Linked DNA regions of Struthio camelus. The protein of the gene in region 2 interacts with the protein of the main gene of each other region in a biochemical or structural test. Links are inferred from orthologs where the notes say so. Each region holds a gene or a part of one and is shown on either strand. Other genes may lie near its edges.

Region 1 (9,847 bases), on a different chromosome or scaffold from region 2:
TTACAAACCTGTAATTCCCTACCTAGAAACTCTTGTAAAGTAGCTGGCATCAGACTTGCAACCTTGCAGTCAGTCCTCTGGCACCAAGGCAATTTTAAGAAAGAGGTCACACACCACAGTCAGCAATTTAACAATATGGTACTTTTCATTGCAACACCGTCCTGGCAACATGGTATTGCTCATTTTGGCTATTTATTCCATGTCCTCCTCTGTCAGCACTTTGAGACAGATTTTCTGACAAGTTCCCTATAAATTAAGGTTTCATTGTGGGAATTTCCACAAACTTCTCTATGGTGTACATAGACGCAAAAAAAAAAAAAAAAAATCGCTTTTCTGCAGTGGCCTATCTGGGAGACTTTCTGTCCCTGAGATTTTGAAAAATGTTGTATTGCCAATTTTAAACCCTTCCTAAATTGCCTCTTACGTTCTTTTTTGTTTTTTTTGTTTTTTTTTTTTGCATGAAACCTTCCAAAGTTTAGGATCCTTCCTATTTTCTTTTTTTTATTTTTATTTTTTTCATTTGTGCACAACACAACACTTTGGAAGATATCAGCTTGCTTCTAGCAATTTTTCCTACCGGCTGCTTAGTGATTCACACACACTTGTGTGCTTTCTTAGCCTTTGAATGAGAGGTGACATGCACTTGAACCTCCAAGATGGTTTCCTTACATAGCCCTCACTCCCCCTGCAAAGATCTAATATTTTTAGTTACCTTTTCCTTTCAGCAATCTTCCTCATTTTTAGTTACTTCTCCTTCTCTAAATTAAACAGACCAATGGTAACTTCTTTGGCTCTTGTTACTCCCACAGGGGTTTTGAGCCCAGGCACGTAAGAGGGAGTCTCAGTGAGCAGCTCGTGGGAAGCGGTATTGTGAATCAGGTCCCGGTGGTGATCCGGGGGCTGGCACGGAGCAGCTCCCTCTCACCACCAGGCTATGTGACCCTAAAGCTCTCATCTCCCTCTGTGACTTGCACCTGGGATGTACAGGGGCGTGAAGCCCTCTGCCATGCTCCTGACCCTGCCAAACCCCTGTGGCCCGTGGACAGCCCTACCGCCGTGCTCTACCTGTGTTGTCCTGGCAAGAGACAGGGAAATCCCGCAGAAAGGCATCCTCTGTCGCTTGTTGATACAGTTAGTTTCCATTTCAGCCTTTCTTTAACATACAGCACTACTCTTTGAACATCACAGCAGACTCAGTCTTTCCTATTTGCTTTTGTTTGGTATTAGCATATCCCCCGACTCTGTTTGTCCTCTGCTGGCGCCTCTTTGGCGCTCTGTTTGTCCAGACTAGTCGTCTCCGTTTCCGATATGACTGCTGCCATTTTCAGGTCAAACTTCTGGCCAAGGACACAGTCCCAGTCACTACTTTTTGGAGGATGTGTGGACCCCAGAGGCCTGTTCCTTATCGCAATCTCTGTTCCACAGCTTGGAAATATTAGAGCTGCTCAAAAAATTATAGTACAATTGTGTTTTAATAGAGGGAAGGGAATATGTAGTCTCCTCATTTCATTCTCAGTAAAAGGGGGACTGTTTTAGCTGAAACTTTCTAAAAAGGACCCAGAAAGCATCCTAAGGCAATTACCTATTACAGAAAATTTCAGTCCTGATAGTCATAGTTTTGCAGTCTCGAGCACCTGAAGAAGGGAGGTTACAGGGGGCCGTGTCAGACAATGTTAAGCCTGGACGTTACCCCCACTGTGGCCTAGCCCAGGGATGCCCTTTGGGCTTACAAGGCACTAAATAGGAGATGGAGCACGAAGGCAAGAGCCCAGCATTCAGCGTTGCCCTTGACTGCCTGCAAGCCCTTGGCAATGCCTTTCGCCATCGCAGGAGGCCGCGAAGTCCTGCTGCTGCAAGGAGCTTGGCAGCCCTGAGCTTGCCAAAGCACACGTTCAGATCCAGAGGGCACAACCTTATCCTCAAGGAGACTGAAAGGAGGTGTACCTCCCCACAAGAAGCTGCTTTGTGCACTCTCATGCTTCCCGGGAGCCACAGCACAGCTTGTCCCACATGCCCCCTTCAAAGAGCCAGTTACGATCCCAAATATGCAGTTGAGAGTCCCCTCAGCAGCTTTTCTTCACTCTGATCCTGCAGGCTCCTCGGCACCTGCTACTGCAATGTTTCCATTCATAGGCATGGTGCTGGGCAGAGTCAGCCCCTTCGCGGTCCTCCCGGCACGAGGCTGGAAGCACTACTCTGTGATGGGCTAATCTCTTCCTGGTTAATGATTTTCAAACCGCGCTACCAGAGACACCCTCCTCCAGAGCCGTCTGACTTCCTGTTACTTGGACCTTGGCTTGATCCTGGGCACAATTCCCATCTCAGCCAGCTGCCTACAATGTGACTGTTGCCCTTCCTGGCAAACCTCCTTGAGAGAGGTGACCCACAACTCTGGTGGAAGACATGAAACGCCCTTGGAGTTCAGCCATACTCCTCAGCTGAAAATCACAGTAATCCCATATTTTTGGGAGGTCGCAAAAGCTATTTATTGGACTAGGTGTCATCTCCTGCACGTCACAAGTTAATCTACAGCACCATACAAACATTTAACTGAGATAAATGCATGCTGCTCGTGACTGGTGCTTGGATGAGTCAAGCCCCAGTGGTGGTCAATCACCTCTCCCATGCCCCTCCCGCTCAAGTGCCACAGGTGCCATGGCAAGGTGGTGGCTACCCACTGAGCACAGGCCTGTTGGCCTTCCAGTGCCAGTAGACCCCAAATCTGGCTTCAAAGAGTAGGTCACCACTGTCCCACCATAACACCTTCCTCAGTTGCACCAGAACTGCAAAGCTCAGAGGGTGGGGGAAGAAGCCTGTAACTGCAGGCTTCACATGCAGTCTCCAGCTTGCCTGTGGAGGAGCTCCCAGGGGGGGACATGCCAGCACCCCAGGAGCCCCCAGCCAACTCACCATTGTGGCTGTTGTGCACATAGACCACCTGGGCCTGCTCTGTCTGTGTGCGCCCCAGGCAGTAGAGGATCCCCACCAGGTCAGGCATGGAGAAGCCCCTGGCCTGGACATGATTGCTGCGGTTGTGGTAGTTTTGGAAGCCCGTCTTGGGGTGTGTCATCACAATTTTGTTGTCCCTCTCGATCTGCAGGTAACTCACGTCGCGCTCGCCCATGACGCAGGAGAGGAAGAAGTCAGAGTGAGACAGGCTCTGCACGTTGGCAATTAGGGTGATGTCCAGGATGGCCCCTAGGATGGGAGCACAAAAGCACGTCATGAGCCGCGGCCTGGTCTTTGCATGCCAGACGAGAGCACCGGCCATCCCAGCCCTGCATCAGGGTCAGTCATCATGACAAACCCCATACCTCAGATGTAAACCCCTCCTCCCCAGGCCTTCTTGCCCCCTGCACAGCTCCAGAGCCATGCCGGGGCACAGCCTCTCTCCCTGTCCCCAGGTTGGTACAGAGCCCATCTGGACAGCAGGGTGGGGATTTCTAGTCTCTTTTGGGGGAGCTCCTACCTTAATGCCCTGGAGCACCCACACGAGCCCAGCATGCAGCCAAAGCAGGACGGGAGGTCCTAGGGCTCCTCTTCCCACTGGCCTTTCCTCCTGTGAGTTGGTCATGCTGCTAGCCCCGTACCAGGGGAAAAACAGGTGGGAGAGGGCAGCTCAGCCCTGAGATTAGGTCCCCTCACTGTCAGGCTCTGAGAAGATATCCAAATTCCCTATAAGACAGGGATGCTTCCTTCCTCCAAGCCTATCTGTGCTCACAAGCAGCTCTGGAAAGAACAAACCCTGCTCCATCCCCACCCCCAGCACCGCCGATTGCCCTCGATTCTCTAGTCCCACAAAGCTTCCCTGGGGAAGGGGCTGGTTCCCTGGGAGCAGAAGGGAAGAGGGAGAAGAATTTACCTGTCAGCCATGGGAGGAGAAGTAGAAGATAAACTTGGAGTCCCATGTCCTTGAAATGTGTCCTGAACCTGGCACAGGTTAGAAAATCCCAGATATGCCCCAGCAGCAAGAGAAGGAGCTGGAGGGCTGCTGCTCCCTATCCGCTCCCCATGAGGGATGGCTCAGGGCCCTTGCTCTCTGTCCGTGGCTCCCATCTTGCCTTCTCACCGCTGCCCAAGGTCTGGAGGAGCTGGGAGGCCGTCCTGGTGTTCATATTGCAGGCACAGCGAGGAAGAGACTCCCCATTCCCCGCCTAAGAACAGCACTGTGCCCAGTGCCCTGCTCGGCTTCTGCCAGGATCTCAGCAGGCTCCAGGGATCGGCGCAGACAGCCCAGGTGGCAATGGGAAGAGAACGGCGCAAGTAGGACTTTGTGGTAAAGAGGCCACCAAGCTGCTGATCTGTCAAGGAGAAGGGACCTCGTTCCTGGAGGAGTCACAGCTGTGTATTCAAGGCACCCAGCGCCATGCTGACTCCCCCAGCCTGGTAGGGAGGCGTCTCAGCCCCCTTCCTCGCCCACAAGGAGAAGATCTCACGCTTGAGCCCATTTGCACAGCAGCATCCTCAGCCCCTCAGCACACTCCCGCCACCCGTCGGGATGGCTGGTGCGAGAGAGGCACTGGGGAGCCAGGGAGACCGACAGCTGTGGGAAGAGCTCTCTTGAGCAGGCTCAGCAAGGGAAAGGAAGGAGGCCAAGGGGCCGCGGCTGGCGGCAGTGGAGTGAAATCCTGTTTCCCATGCAGCGTTTCCTGCTCTCCACCCATTGTTCTGACATGGCCCTGACTCCCGGAGACGGGAGCGCCTCGCCGCGTGGCGGGAGCTGCCCTGCAAAGCCTCTTCCCTGGAGAGCGGCAGGCAGAGACGCTCAGTCCTTACCTGTTTCATAACACTGTCCGTCCGGCAAGCCCCTGAAGCCTTGGCCTCCTCCTGCTATGAGCCAGGCTGCCAAGACATGAATCCACAGATTCAGCCCAGAGCCCACATAAACCAGCACTTCAGCCCTGATTTAAAATGGAGCCTGAAAAACTGGAAGAAGGTCCAGTGATATGACTGAAGGTCAGGAAAAGACCCCTCACAGGAGCAAGGTTGCAGAGGCTGTCTGTAAGTAGCGCATAAAGCACATTGACTGGCATGGCAATTCAGAGCTGGTACAGAGGCAGGCTTAACCACAAAGGCTCAGGGGATTCAGTCTACAGCTCTACCCAGAGACTCTCTGCATGGCTGTAGTCCTGGGCTGCAGTTTTCAGTGCTTGAACTCAGCTGGAGCCAGTGAGAGTTTTCTGCTCACAAGCCTTGAAGAAAAAAAGCTTCACCATGGCTGGGCCTGTAACAAGAGGGTGACACTGTCCCCCAGCTCCTGCAGTACAGGGAAGAGGCCAGTGGTGCTGAGGACACCCTGACAAGGGCAGTCCTGGGTATGCTGGAGCTTCTCTGAGAGGCTTAAAAATTGCTCTCAGTCCTAACTCATACTGAGTGCTGCCTTCCTAAGTGAAGGGACAGCCCCTCTGTGTCACGTTCCCATTGCTAGTAGAAATGTTACCAAGTAGTACAAGAAACTCCTAACACTGCTCCTGCTCATGTCCTTCCCTTCCCACCTTCCCTCACATTTCCATGTGACTGCGCAGAGCTCCCACCATATCAGATTTTGCCAGTACAGTGTATATGGCAGATGCACAGAGCTCCACCAACCTCAGCGACATCCCACCATGCCACACAACTTGGGAACACTGCTGATAGGAAGGGGAGGAGAGGGGCCAGCTCACGGGCTCAGGGTGGTGCCCCTCACCCCTGCAGCTCTGGCAGGATCTACAGGGAGTGAAGAAGGATCCCACTGAGGCCTAGTCAATAGTTGTTTTGGAGAAATCTGGATGATGGGCTCCTTGCAGCGTTCTCTCCCTCGAGCTACCTGTCAAGGGATCTCCTGGGGGCACGTGAGCAATCTAAGCATCCGGACTGACCAGCAGGGAAAGGCACATTGCACGTGGGACACACAGCTCCGTTGGCATCCCTGAGAATGTGCAGGACCTTGGCCTCCTGGAGAGAGGCGTGGGGAAGGGGTTGGGGTGGCAGCACGCACCAGGAGCGCTTGGACTTGTCCTGGGCTGGGTCCACACTTGTGGGAGACTGCGCAGGGGCACAAGCCCCCTTGCACCAGTGGCTTCCCCTGAAGGATGAATCAGCCAAATTACGCCCAAAAGTGGTGTCTGGAATAATGCAGGGAAGAGATCCCAAAGCCAATCTGTCAGCAGAGGCTGTCTGGTTTGAAAGTGGCCAAATGCGAGCTAGAGCATTCGCAGCACAAGACAAAGCTGGCTGGCCTGAACTGGAGGGCGGGAGTGGCCATCAGAGAACAAAAGCCTCTGCAGCGCAGTAAACATGTCTGGGGGGAAGCTGAAAGCAGTAGAAAGCCCAGCTTTCCTTGACTGTTTTCCAGCCTGCCTCTCCCTTTCCCATTTCACAAATGGCCTGTCCTTGGGTTACACCCGGGAACCTCCGAGGCCCACAGGCAACATCCCAGCACACGTGGCATGCTTTGCTGCAACCTGGCCCCCTGCTCATTGCGCACCGTGCACAGCCCGCCACACACAAGCGTGCACACAGCTGCCGCTCAGCAAGGCTCGCGGGCCTGCTACGCTGCCCTGCGGACACGCGTGCAGCGTCCCAGACTGTACTGGGCTCTCCAGTGAGACAAGGGTGACCTCAAAGAGGGCTCTGTGCACCTGAGGTTAATCTGACAATATTTAAGGTATTCCTGGTGAAATCACCATAATCTTCACCTGCTAAACTTCATGTTGTTTCACAAACAGTGCCCTGAAGTGTTCCCATGTGAAAACCAGGACTGCTGGGGAACAAGCCTTATGTTTTGGTGTGTCCAGAGCCCATGCAGTATCCGGTCGAAAATCTAAAGAACACATGGACAGGAAAGGGAAATCCATTCATTGTTTCCGACTATTTACAGTGCACTCCAGGGACGTACAGTGCCCCTGAAGAGTGTGGAGTGATTAGAGCAGACAGGGACTCTGCCACACCACTGCTGACTCTTCACCCTGGCACAGGCTGCTCCCACACACTCCCATGAACACAAACACTGCAGCCAGCCTGAGACAAAGAGATGGAGAGACTGCAAAAAAGATGGACACTGGGTTGTAGCTGCCCACATTTGTCTGGAAAACTAGTCATGTTGCTTTCCTGGTTGATATTTGGGTGGGTATGCGTAGGGGCTCCATCTTTGGGGACCCACGGAGCATTTGAGGCTCAACTATAATTTAAACAAATCAATGTGTTTCCAGAAGTGAGGATGTCACTGAGATGGACACGCACAGGCTGGGCAACCAAAACCTGTTCCTCTTATAATCTGTATTCTCCAGTCCCTCCGCATTCCCATGAACTGCCATGTCCTTATTTGCCTGTCAAATCCAAAGCTCATTTGCAAGTTCTTTGGGTCAGGGACTCATCCATACATTCGGTACAGCTGCAGGAAGGTGGATAGATACATAAACACATAAATAAATGGCTTCTTTCCACCATCCCATTGTTCACGAACTGTAGAGGTCAGTCACACTTGGTACTATAATTACCATTGTGCTATCGTGTACTTACACATATTGCAGCTAGATAAATAATGGGAGCACAGGCTCACATTCTGCGATCACTTGACAATGCAGCAGTACTAATAAAACAATAATTTACGACATATATTGTAAAGTGTCATCTGACATGAAAAATCATTTGGATGAAGGGTTTATCTACATGGCACAAACAAGCTTTATTGGAAGGCTTTGCAACCATGGGCCTTGCAGTATGCTCCTCCAAAGAGCAAAGCATGTCTATGGTTCCAGGAAATGGATCCAGGGCATTGCTTTGATCTTTTGGGGAAGTGGATCCATTTAGCCATCAGTTGTCCATACCAGGTGATGTCCAGAAAATCTAAGGGATCTGTCGAGGGATCAGACACAGTCTGATTTGTCCGGTTGCTTTTTTTCTAGAAAGACCTAGGTAAGAGGTTTCTATTTGTGCGAATCCCTTGGGTTAGAGGTAGGGTAGGAAACTTCTTTGGGGGTCCATGGGGAGACTCAGTCAGGATCCCACAGCTCCAGTTTAACCTGATGTTGCTCCAGAAAATCAGTGGTCCTGGGTTAGCTATGCCCAGCTGAAGCAGCCCACCACACCTGCTCTCCTCTCCGCTGATATGGAAAGCTCCATTTACCCGACCCATAGCACAAACCTCACACAACTGAATGCTTTTTCTGCAGAACTAACAGACCCAAACTTTTTTGCTGACTCATGATGAAGTAAAAGAATTAGTGACAAAAATAACCCTTTTCGGTGTCATTTACCCATTCTAGTCCAAGGTATCACATGCCCTGATACATTTCCTGATAGGAAATGCAAACACCCTGTTAACTCACCTACAGGATGCATCAGCAACACTTTCTAGTCCTACTTTTCTGGCCATTTGTTTAGTTTTATGTCCATGGTGCCAGTCTTGTACAACAGGAGCGGGGTCCACACATATAAATGGAAACACGCCCTTGGGGAGGCTGCTGCTGAGAACGAGCAGGAATCGCTCCCGTTGCTTTAGGCGGGTGCAGGTCTCTGGGACATAGGCCAGGGAAGGCCCTGCAACGCAGTGCTAAAAGCTGCAGCCGCCAGGCTAGGAGCAGCCCTGGAGCGGGGACAGCATGTCACGGGCAGGCATCTGCTCCGCGGCCCGGCATCCCCAGTCCCCAGTCCGCCGGGCTGCCTTGGCAGAGCATTTCGGGAAGAGGGTGGAGAAGGCCAGCCGCAGCAGGAGCAGGCAGGGCGCCTGTCTGTGTTTGCATTCGTCACACGTTTGCAGGAGCAAGGACGAGCTGGGAAACACTTTTCCCGAGGAAAGGGTGGGGACCCGCGGCCGCGGAGGAGCCCCTTGGCAGCCAGGGGGAAGTGGGGCCTCCCTGCCCCAGCCGTCGCCCGACTGGAAACTGCAGAAACGAAGATTTGTTGTAAGCAGCCGGCTTCCTGCCGCTGCCGGGGAGGAGGAGCACTCCGGCGACCCGGGAGCAGGGCGCTGCCAGCACTCTCCCGTGCCTGGCATTTTGTGGGTGCCAGGAGGCTCTTGCTAGTGTCCTGACGGCGGGAGACTGGCCCTGGTATCGTTCAGCGCTGGCTCTCCACCTGGTGGTGCGTAGCCACCTCGCGCCAGACGCGCGGGACCCGACCGGCACCGGCCTCCTCCAGCTCTCGCCCTCTCCTCGGCCCCCCGCGAGCCCGGGCGCGGGAGCATGTCCAGCCAAGGCGTGCGCCACGATGCCAGCTCCTGCAGCAAAGACGTTTCCTTGAAATAATTTCTCTGAATGTCACTGACTCCACGGGATGGTTGCGTGGTTTGTGGTGGCTCTGGGCCGGGGGTGCTGGGGGCTGGGGGGGGTCCCCAATCCCCTGGGATCCCCGGGGGAGCCGTGGAAGCTGCTCCGAGAAATAACGCTTTTATTAGTGATTCATCCATGCCAGAAAGCCAACTCCACAGAGGCACTGCCGGGCGCAGGGACCTGCCAGCTTGCTGCCTTTTTTAAACACCTTTCAGCCCTCTTATTTTCTTATCAGTCCCCTGCAATCCCAGGCCCGTGCCGTGCCGAGCCGAGGGGCCGCCGGCGCTTGGGGGGGCTGCGCCGGCCGGCCGGTGAAACCCACCGCAGCCGCCTCCCGCACCTCCGGGGCCGGCGCGCGGGGCGCTGCCGCCGCTGCCGCCGCCATGGGGGCCCGGCACGCGCCTCCCCGGGCTGGGCGGCAGCGGGGAGCCGAGGCGGTTAATGTGTAACCGGCCCCGCCACCTTTCACCCCGTGGCACTGGCCTCTGGGCGCAGCCCCGCGAGGCAGCACGGGCGCTGGCGGCGGCCGAGCTCGGCCCCCAGGTGAGCGGTGGCGAGGCCGGGGACCCGCGTCGGGGAGGCGGGGGGCGGCCATG
Region 2 (10,809 bases):
CCCCTTCTTGGAAATCAGCACATTCAGATGCCTCTCTGAAGTGCCTATACACAAATGCATGCTGCATGGGGAATACACAGGAGGAATTAGAAATGTGCATGCAGTTGCAGGGCTGTGATCTCATTGCAATTGTGGAGACGTAGTGGGATAGGTCACATGACTGGAATGGAAGTACATGCTCTTTAGGAAGGACAGGCCAGGAAGGAGAGGAGAGGGAGTCAGCCTTTATGTGAGAGAGCGGTGGGAATATTGGGAGCTCTGCCCCGGGGGTGAACAATGGCCTGTCCAAGAGCTTATGGGTAAGGATTAGGTGACACACTAACATGGGCGACACTATTATAGTTGCTTGCTACTGGCCACCTGATCAGGGAGAAGTAGATGAGACCTTCTACAGACTGCTGGAAGCCTCATGTTCGCAGTCTCTGGTCCTTACTGGGGACTTCATCCACCCCTATACCTGCTGGAGGGACAACATAGCAAGGCACAAGTAATCCATGAGGTTTCTGGAGGGCATCGGTAATAACTTCCTGATACAGGAGACAGAGAAGCCAATGAGGAAAGATGCTCTGCAAGGCCTCATACTTACAAATGAGGAAGTGCAGATTAGGGATATAAAGGTTGGAAACAACCTTGGCTGTAGTGACCTTGAGATGGTGGATTTCAGGATCCTGAGAGGAGGCTGCAGGGCAAAGAGCAGGATCACAACCCTGGACTTCAGGAGATCAGACTTTGGCCTCTTCAGGGGCCTGTTTGGAAGAATCCCATGGGATTAGGTCCTAGAAGGAAGAGAGATTTAAGAAAGCTGGTTGATATTCAAGGATCACCTCCTTCAAGGTCAAAAATGGTCCATCCCAATGAGAAAGAAGTTGAGCAAAGGGAGCAGGAGACCTGTTGCATGGATAGACAAGGAGTCCCTAGCAAAACTCAGACATAAGGAGAAAGTGTACAGAAGGTAGAAGCAAGGACAGGTAACCTGGGAGGAATATAGGGATGTTGTCAGAGTATGCAAGGATGGGCTAGGAAGTCTGAGACTCATCTGGAATTTAATTTGGCAAAGGATGTCAAGGACAACAAGGAGGGTTTCTATAAAAACATCAGTAAATAAAGAAAGACTAGGCGAGATGTGAATGCTGAATGGAGCAGGGGCCCTAGTGACAAAAGATGCAGAAAATGCAGAGATACTGAATGCTTTGTTTGCTTCAGTCTTTACTGCTAAGATCAGCCCTCAGGAATCCCAGACCATGGAAACAAGAGAGAAAGTTTGGAGAAAGGAAGACTTTCCCTTGGTAGAGAAGGATTGGGTTAGGGATCACTTAGGCAAACTGGACACACACAAGTCCGTGGATCCTAATGGGATACACCCATAATTGCTGAAGGAGCTGACGGATGTCATCACTAGGCCACTCTCAATCATCTTTGAAAGGTCATGGTGATCAGGAGAGATGCCTGAGGACTGGAAGAAAATAAATGTTCCAGCCTTCAAAAAGGACAAGAAGGAGGAGCCAGGAAACTACAGGTCAGTCAACGTCTCTTCGATCCCTGGAAAGGGGATGGAACATCCTTAACACCATCTCCAAGCACATCAAGCATAAGAAGATGATCAGGAGTAGTCAGCATGGACTCATAAAAGGGAAATCATGTTTAGCCTATCTGATAGCCTTCTGTGGTGGGACAACTGGCTGGGTAGATGAGGGCAGAGCAGTGGATGTTGTCTACCTGGACTTCAGCAAGGCTTTTGACACTGTCTCCCAACACATCCTCACATGAAAGCTGATGAAGTAGGGGCTAGATGAGTGGACAGTGAGGTGGATTGAGAACTGGCTGAATGGCAGGGCTCAGAGCATTGTGATAAGTGCGGCAAGGTCCCGTTGGAGGCCTGTAGCTAGTGGTGTCCCTCAGGGGTCAGTACTGGGTCCAGTCTTGTTCAATGTATTCATCAGTGACTTAGATGAAGGGATAGAGTGCACCCTTAGCAAGTTTGCTGATGATCCAAAACTGGGAGGAGTGGCTGAGACAGCAGAAGGCTGTGCTGCCATTTAGAGGGACCTGGACAGGCTGGAGAGATGGGCAGAGGAACCTCATGAACTTCAACAAAGGCAAGTGCAGGGCGTTGCACCTAGGGAGGAATAACCCCAGGCACCAGTACAGAGAAGACCCTGGGAGCCCTGGTGGACAGCAGGTTGATCATGAGGCAGCAATGCGCCCTTGTGGCCAAGAAGGCCAAGGGTATCCTGGGGTGCGTTACAAAGAATGTTGCCGACAAGTCGAGGGAGGTGATCCTCCCCCTCTACTCAGCCCTGGTGAGGCTACATCTGGAGTACTGTGTCCAGTTCTGGGCTCCCCAGTACAAGAGAGGCATGGAGCTCCTGGAGCAAGTCCAGAGAAGGGCTGCTAAGATGATGAAGAGACTGGAGCATCTCTCATGTGAGGAAAGGCTGAGAGAGCTGGGCCTGTTCAGCCTGGAGAAGAGCAGACCGAAGGGGCATCTGACCAATGTGTATCTGAAGGGACAGTATCGAGACGATGGAGCCAGACTCTTCTCAGTGGTGCCCAGCGATAGGATGAGAGGCAACAGGCCCAAACTGAAACACAGGCAGTTCTGTCTGAGCATGAGGAAAAACTGCTTTCCTGTGAGGGTGACTGAGTGCTGGCACAGGCTGGTCAGAGAGGTTGTGGAGTTTCCATCCCTGGAGATGTTCAGAAGCCATCTGGATAGGGTCCTGGGCACTACGCTCTAGGTGACCCTGCTTAAGCAGAGGGGTAGGGCAAGATGATCTCCTGAGGATCCTTCCAGTCTCAACTGTTCTGTGATTAAGAATGAAAAATACTGCACCTTCCTGTAAGCTTTGATTTAGCTGGAGATAACCCCTACTACAAAAAGCCTATTTCTTTTCTCTGTTAGGAGCCATTCTATAGTGAATTTCGTTATACATTGAGGAAGTTGAATTGGAGTAACTCCAGTTACAGTGTGTGATATTATGCAACTTTAATGTAACTCGTCTGCAGCAATAGCACATATTGCAGCAGAAATGTAAAGAAACAGAAATAGATTTTTGTTTTCTTGAATTTGTTTGAACTCCAAGCATGTTTATGATTCTGTGACAAAAGGCATTATTTTTCTGCTAAATACATAGGAAATGATATTATATGAATGTAAGCTTTATCTAGATATTTAATTCCAATTTCTTTTGCCTTGTAGCACTGATTACATAGTCAACTATAGAATTTTATGTGGGTACTAAATAAACAATGTAGCTGAGACTTCATATGGTCGGGGAAGGAAGCCTCCGGATCCATCCCTTCCCTCTTACATAGAAGGAAAAGTTCAGGGAATATGAAGCTAGTCATTGTGTTGGAGGAAGTGGTCTTAGGAAAATAAAGAGGTTTTTAAATACATCCATGCCCCTACATGGTTTTTGGCTCTGCAACTGATTTTTCTCTGCAATTCTGGATAAATCATTTAGGTTACATCTATACCATGTAATGTAGCATCCTGCAGAAATATCCACATTGACTCTGACTGAATTTTGAGGACTTTTTTTTCTCCCTTCACTGAGAATTTCACTTCTTAAAATGTTGGGACAGGTCACATAGATCAAGTGGGACTGTGTTAATACACTGTATTTTTTTCAGTTCAGGTAGAAAACACCAAACCATTGAAACTCGTGGGTCAAGTTTTTTTTATTTTCTATTTCTTTTAAGAAATAAATACAGCATATGTCTCAGTAGGAATGGGAAAAATGACAAGTCTTCTCATTTCTGCATTCTATCTTCCTTAGGTAGAACAGAATTTCTTAGGAAATTGTATTATGGAATTAAATGCCTGCAGAGCTGGAAACATGCTCTTTTCTGTGTTTGCTTTTGCACTTTTCTCCTCTGGGTATGCATGGCACCATGAATATATTAGGGAAGAATATAAACTGAACCTGAAGTGACTGGTTCAAAGTCCCTGTAAAAATGAACTTGCTAAGTATTTGGAGGAACATCAGGTTGAGTGGCTGACCTTGACGGTCCCCCTGTGTTGCAGGATCAAGAGCGGCCAAGTGTCTGTGCTTCTAGTAAGGGACGCTCAGGGCCTGGTATAAGCAAGGGCAGCCCTGAGAGCTCACTGTGCTTCAGTGTAGCCCGCAGGACTGCCACCATGTCAGTGGTCACTGAGAGTCATCGTATCCCAAAACTGAAGTGCATCCCAGTGCAATTCATGAGTGCTCTTATCTACCTCTCCTGTGATTAAAAAGACTGCAAACTGGAGGTGACATGATGGCTCTGGGTGTTTCCCCCAACCTCCCTTCATCCTCCCCTCTGTGTGAGACTCCACAGGTTCAGGCACACGAGACGACGCAGGCATGCTACGTCCTGTAACACAGACATGGCACTGTTAGCTCACTGAACGAGCGAGGGGACTTGATTCTCTCTAGTAGGGAAGATTTTAGTGCAGTGTCCTAACAGGTGACGCTCTGGCTGCTGCGTGGCTCTGCTGCGTCTTTGCACTCTGGCATCTCACCGATATGTGCTGCCCGTCACCCATCACCCTGGGGCTGGGATCGGGAGGAGTCTGCTATGGGAGGCAGGTGGTGTGGCAGTGAGCTAGGCAGGAGATATGTGAGAAATGCCAAAGAGGCTTGCCAATTCTGTGCATCTACTTGAAGGGCCTTATGGCTGTTACCCCTTAGCAAGAAGGGGACAGGAGGGGAAGGTAGAGAAGTGTGCTTTAAGCCATGCAATAGCAACAAAGCACGCCTGCTGCTGCATGAAGTCTCTTCTCATCTGAAAAACCCTGTAAGTTTACCCTCTCACATTCCCAAGTTTTCATGGGAGTAAAAGTCTGTAGCTTAAATACTCATCAGAAAGTGAATGCAGGACTTGTGTAAACAGCAGCATTTTAAAATATGATTTAATCTTCTAGGAAGCCTTTTGTACACTCACCTTTACCATCCCCCTTTTGCTGCTTTGAGGTCCTTTGATAAAGTTCTCTTTTTGCTTTTAAAAAGGCATGGATTGTTATCACTTTTGTGCTCCGACAATTTTACTTCTCCTTATACAGAATGACTGTTTTTATGCTCACCCCTCAGCTCAGCGTCCGATCTGAGTTTTCTCCCTCAAAGATCAAAGCTTTCTGATCTTATGGTATGAGCAAATATCTTGCAAATACATTTCGCAATAATTGCAGAGACAGTGCAATAAACCACAGCAGAGCTAGATCTGTTGACGATGGAGCAATGTGAAAAATGCTTGCAATACAGTGAGCTCTATGAAGTTGATATTCAGAGGGAGAAAAAGAAAAGCCAGAGTGCAAAGGTGGGCTGAGCAATTCAGAGGTAGAAGGATGTTCTGATTTTGTTAAAATCAACGGTAGCATTGGTGTTTCGCTGTTTGCTTTGCTTTCTTGTTGCTTGCCTTTTTTCACTATATATTGGACAAACAGACATTTTAAAACAAGCTAAGACCCTCTCATTTCTCTACATTTTTGCAGGGGATATTTGTTCATGATTCAAAGGGAATGGTTTCTTTTCAGGTGCCCGACGAAAGCCTCAGCACCCAGTTTTGAGTAGGAATAGCTTATTCAGGAGCAGGGCAGACTCCTGGCTGAAAATTCCAGGCAGTTCTTTTAGATTGAAATTGTAGTTCTAAAATTATAATAATAAAATATATATACATAATAATGACAATTGCATGAGCACTGAGGTGCTTGCACTCAGTATTCTTGCAGGTAGACTGCCCAGACTACCTACACTCATGAGCAAAATTGTGCAAAGTGGTCTGCAAAGGAGTTGGCTGGTATTTGTGTAACAATAGCAAATCCTAGAGCAGGAACTCAGCACCAAATTTCTCTGAAGTTTAGGATTATTCTGATCCTGTTTCTAATCTATGCATTCTAGTTTGATCTCAAGCAAATACCAAAGGCATTATTTCTGTTTAAGATAGTTTCCTAAATATTTACCACAATCCTTTTCTGAGGAAGTTACCCCTGAGAAAGTTTTCATATATAATAAGGGGTGACTGTGTAGCCTGTCCCGACTTGCACATTGGTAGAAGTGTTTCACATGTGATAATTATACAGTCCATAGGACAATCTGGAGTAGTTCAACCAGCATACCTCACAGTTTTGTAACTAGTTACCTTATTTTACTAGCCAAACATAGAATATTATTATCCTTCTGAACTGCTATTTCTCATTATTATTTGGCAACCTTCATTTCATTAAATCCTGTGAAAAGCTGTCTGCAAACTCTGCTAAAGTAACACAAATGTCTGAGAAAAGTAGCAAAAGTATGTGAGGGTTAAATGTAACTTTTTTCTCATAAGTGTCATTCTTCTGATTTAGAATTCTTTAATAGACACTGAGCAGTGGAGAACTGAAAGTATTTTTAATTTCAGTGCTTTGTATATTTACAGAAGGATTACAACAAACTTCTACACTTTATCTACATTTTAATAGGTCAGTGTGAACATATGAAGTGTATTAAGGTGGACTGCCCAACTTATTAAACTTGCGTGAATTCGTCAAAAGCCCTTAGCAGTTGTGTGCAACAGGGGCTGGAAAGCCATGCATGATTGAGGTCATGCATCCAGCCAGTTTGTAAGATGATCCCTCTGTACCGAGCCATCAGCCATCCTTAGCATAGGGGCGCACTCATACACGCATTCCTGTCAAGTCATCTTGTGAAAGGCTGCTTGCTTCCAGCTTGGCTTGAATGTGCAACCTTAATAAAACTCACTGAAGTCTGAGAGAAAATAGCAGTTCTGCAGCAGATAGTGTAGGGGAAAGAGACTGGGATATGCATATGCAGCTGACTAAAGCAGGCTACATGCTGGACTGTAACAGAGAGGAAACAATAAATCTTAGCTACTATGCAATAAATATTCCCAATTTTAACTAAGGAAGCTATCCTAATATTGAAATCAAAAATATAACAATTTATCCAAGCTTGATTACTAAAGTACAATTCTCCAGTCCTTTCCCCAAAGACTTTAAAGGAAATTAAGAACAAATTTAAAGAAAGAGGAAGAAAAAAGTTTTTCTAAAATTAGTAAAGGAAAGTAATAATAACATGACAATTTTCCTTTCCTTTGCTTTCTTGGCTGCTCTTCTGGCTCATATGGGCTGTAGTAATCAACGTCGGGGTCCAGAAGCCAGTGGGAGAAGATATAACCGGATTCAGCATGGGCAGTGCACCTATACTTTCATTCTACCAGAACAGGACGGCAACTGTCGTGAAAGCACGACAGACCAGTACAACACAAACGCTCTTCAGAGAGATGCTCCTCACGTGGAACAGGATTTCTCTTCCCAGAAACTGCAACATTTGGAACATGTGATGGAAAATTACACTCAGTGGCTGCAAAAAGTAAGTGCTTCTTTTTCCACTTCTCACAAATGGATATTTTTTGGTGGTGCTTATGCTGTTTGTAGTTTTCATGAGTTTCTGTGAGAAATGAGATACTAAGGATTTCTCTAGTTCATAACTCTGCAGGGTGAGAAATCTTACAGCCAGAGTGCACCCTTCGTAGTGAGATTACTCTTGGGAGCAGAATTTTCTTCACATTACTGGAAGATGCAATTTTGTAAAGCTTTATCTCAAGAGACCACGGATGTTTTGTGAGCCAGAGTATACAAAAATCCATCAGAGACTCTAACGAAGGAACACTTTATTAGCTAGTCTTGTAAACTTGGTTTATGCTTCAGAGCTTCAGATCAGATGTCTTGCAGCATACCTGCTGCTCTGACAGCAAAAAGGTATATGTAAAAAAATCAACATTTAAAGGCACTATATTGAGACTATTATTACTATCTCCATAAATAGATCTTGTAATCCTATTCCATCCAGCTAATCACTGGAAAGACAGATAAAAGTATATAAGCATTCACATTCTTAAATCATCACAGTAATTTTTTTAAATGTGTGGATTACACTGGACTTGAAAATAGTGTTATAGTAACTTAGCAGAAGTAATTCTTTTCAAGAATTTGTGCTATAGCTGTAAACTTTCACTGAACTGTTCAGTTCTTTATGTATGAGCTGAAGCTTGGGCATGGAAAGACTTAAATATGTGAATAACTTTTACTCATATCAGCACTTCCATTTACGTTAATAAGATTACTCACTTGAGTAAAATTACTTACCTTGCTGGATCTTGTCCATGGTTTGATATTGAGAATGGTTTGAGAGAGATGACAAGTAAAATTAGGTCTTTTTATATGATTGTAATATTCCTGTTCTCACCTTGGCATTATGACCTGGCGAAACAGAAAACTGAGCAATTAATGATGCAATTAATCATGTAAGATGGCACAAGAAAACCATCGTATGTACCTATTCAAGAGAAACATCATTTAACTGTAATGCAAGATTATATGAAGAATGAATATCAATAAAAATGCTAGTAAAGACTACTAAAACTTCATATTAGCATATTTATTGCTACCTATCTCATTTACAATTTTCATTTCCTGTGACAGAAATATGTTAAAAAGCATAAACAACCACCGCTACCCTTCTAACCATATTAAAACCTTTGCAGAGAATTTCCTGATCTCCCGATAAATTAATTGTACTCTTTGCATATATAGTCCTAGAAAGAGAGAGATGACTGTATCTAATAAACATGTGACTATAAACCAAAATATAGCTGAGCATTTCTTTTTCAGACTATTTTCCTCAGTTTTTAATATTGTGGTCTGCTTTGGGGAATACAAGGCTGGAACTGAGGGGATGTCTTTACTTGTAAGGGAGAGGATTTCTTAAGAAATAATTTTACTGCACCTTGGGAGTTTAAGGCAAGGACTGAGAAGAGGAAAATTGTTATCTGTGTTTATGCACACATGATTTTACTTGAGCAAATTGCCTGCTGAATCATGCTTATGAGACTTTACTTATTCTATGTTTGTCCACTAGAGACTGAACTAAGATCACTGTTTCACCGCGAACTGAACAAGAAGAAAAATGAGTCTCTAGAGTGTGAATGTCTGAGCTAGGGCTAGTCCTCTCACGCTTCAGAGGGAAGTGATTAAACAGGTAGGAAGCCCAAGGAAAGGATTTTATATCCGAGGACTGTTCTCTTCTTCAATGACTGTAAAACCGGCTATGGGCAGGACCATCCCCCCCACTCCCCCGCTGCCCTTCCCAGCCCCCAGCCCTCTGCTGCCCTAGGTTTACACGAAGCCAGGGTTGCGCACGTATGCCCATATGTCAGTCCTCCTCAGAATGAAAGGACCCGTTTCTCTGTGTGAGGGAGTACAGCTCCCTGGGAACAAATGAGTCCGATGCAGCTCCATTATAGCATCTCTGAATGCTGAATTTGCTTTGTCGCTGTTGCCATTACAAAGCGTTTCAGCCATAACTCATTTCCTTTCATAAGAAGCATAATGCTTTAGTGTAATGAATACATTGTGTAGACATCTCACATCTCATTTTACACTGCATTTGTTTTTCCCCTCGACTTTTAATACAGGATATAAATACTGCTTCACCAGGCAAAATTTTACAATGCACCTGCTGTGAACAAAACAAAGAATTCTTAATGACTATAGGTCTGTAATCAGAAGTGAATAGTTATAATAAAGTTTGTATTTCAGAATTCAAGATATATTGTAACCTTCGTAGAAGAAATATGCTTATTAGTCTATGTAATACATATAACTCTCATTATAATTGTACATTGGCAATGTTTACCAGAGACTCTTATTTTCTTAGCGCAAATGCAGCCTGCAGTATCGGAAGGGTATTTATTAAGAAAGTTTGTATAAGGTATTATATACTTAAGAAATCGTGTAATATTTTAAGTTAGAAGATGCTTTTCCTTGATTTCTAAATTAGTAGATTTCTCGAGGCAAAATAGGTATTCCTTAAGAGAAAAGGAAATTCTTTTACCCTCAGCAACAAAAGTGCTTCTTTGATGACCTAGTAGCTTGATTGTAGATAAAAGTGTGCTTGCTTGGGGAGCTGATTACAGGCAATTAAGTGGCAGCCTTGTCCAATAGCATTTGCATATCTATAGTCAGCGTCGCTGGGATTGGCTGGCAAACCACAGACACGGCAAAATGCTCTGCTCAGAAACTGCTTGGAAGAAGATGACTTGGTAAACATTTTCAGTGATTTTCCTAGAACTGTTTATTTTAATACCGGATAACTTTCTCCATTGTTTAAGCTTGGGTTTCATTTCTGCAATATGTTTATACTAATAGTTCAAAACAAACAGTTCATCACATTTTGTTTCTTGCTGTAACCGACTGGCACACGTGATACTGTTTGGTATTTAATTGCAGTGTCTAAGTGTTGCCAAAGAGGAGTTACATGAAATGTTATCATCATGTCTTGCTCGGGAACTTTCTGTTAGTCAGCTGCGTGAACTTAAGATATTGGTGGTCTCAGTATACATTCAGAATGGCAATAGAGATGCGTTTATTTCATGTATTTATCCTTCAGTCAAAATAATACTAATAATAGTTGTAAGTAAGTGAGTTTGGCATGATCTACTCACTCTTTTTCCTGATCCTTACCTAAACAGAATACCACGAAAGCTGAAAGCGAATACTTGATAATAATGTTATAAGTTGCTAACATTGACATACAGCCTTGACTGGAAAGTGAACCACAATCATTCTGGTCAGCCAGTATCCAAACTTAGATTTTTTTGCTTTTCCCTGCAAATATTGGTTACACTACTTAAAACCAAATAAGGGAGCTTCAGCTCTCGTTGCTTATACTTCAAATTGTTTGTGCTGTCACCAGCTTATAAGGGAAGAAGTAGACAATGCTGCAAACTGTGGCTTTTGAAAAGACAAGTATACATTTGCTCGCTGATCTG

Evidence for each region. The genes of interacting proteins can lie anywhere in the genome.
Region 1: the proteins of ANGPT1 (region 2) and TIE1 interact in a biophysical measurement, tested with the Homo sapiens proteins (2 studies listed by BioGRID and IntAct, with this or other methods). The link is inferred for Struthio camelus from reciprocal best matches to the Homo sapiens genes ANGPT1 and TIE1.

Annotation. Positions count from the first base shown.
Region 1 is NC_090949.1:25,358,628-25,368,474, reverse strand, and holds the start of TIE1 (tyrosine-protein kinase receptor Tie-1), read right to left. Parts: upstream 4,638-9,847; 5' UTR 3,909-4,637; coding exon 3,863-3,908; intron 3,676-3,862; exon of another isoform or gene 3,470-3,675; intron 3,199-3,469; coding exon 2,911-3,198; intron 1-2,910. UniProt on the Homo sapiens protein: Transmembrane tyrosine-protein kinase that may modulate TEK/TIE2 activity and contribute to the regulation of angiogenesis.
Region 2 is NC_090943.1:143,118,139-143,128,947, forward strand, and holds the start of ANGPT1 (angiopoietin-1), read left to right. Parts: upstream 1-6,441; 5' UTR 6,442-7,052; coding exon 7,053-7,349; intron 7,350-8,125; exon of another isoform or gene 8,126-8,239; intron 8,240-9,872; exon of another isoform or gene 9,873-10,042; intron 10,043-10,809. UniProt on the Homo sapiens protein: Binds and activates TEK/TIE2 receptor by inducing its dimerization and tyrosine phosphorylation.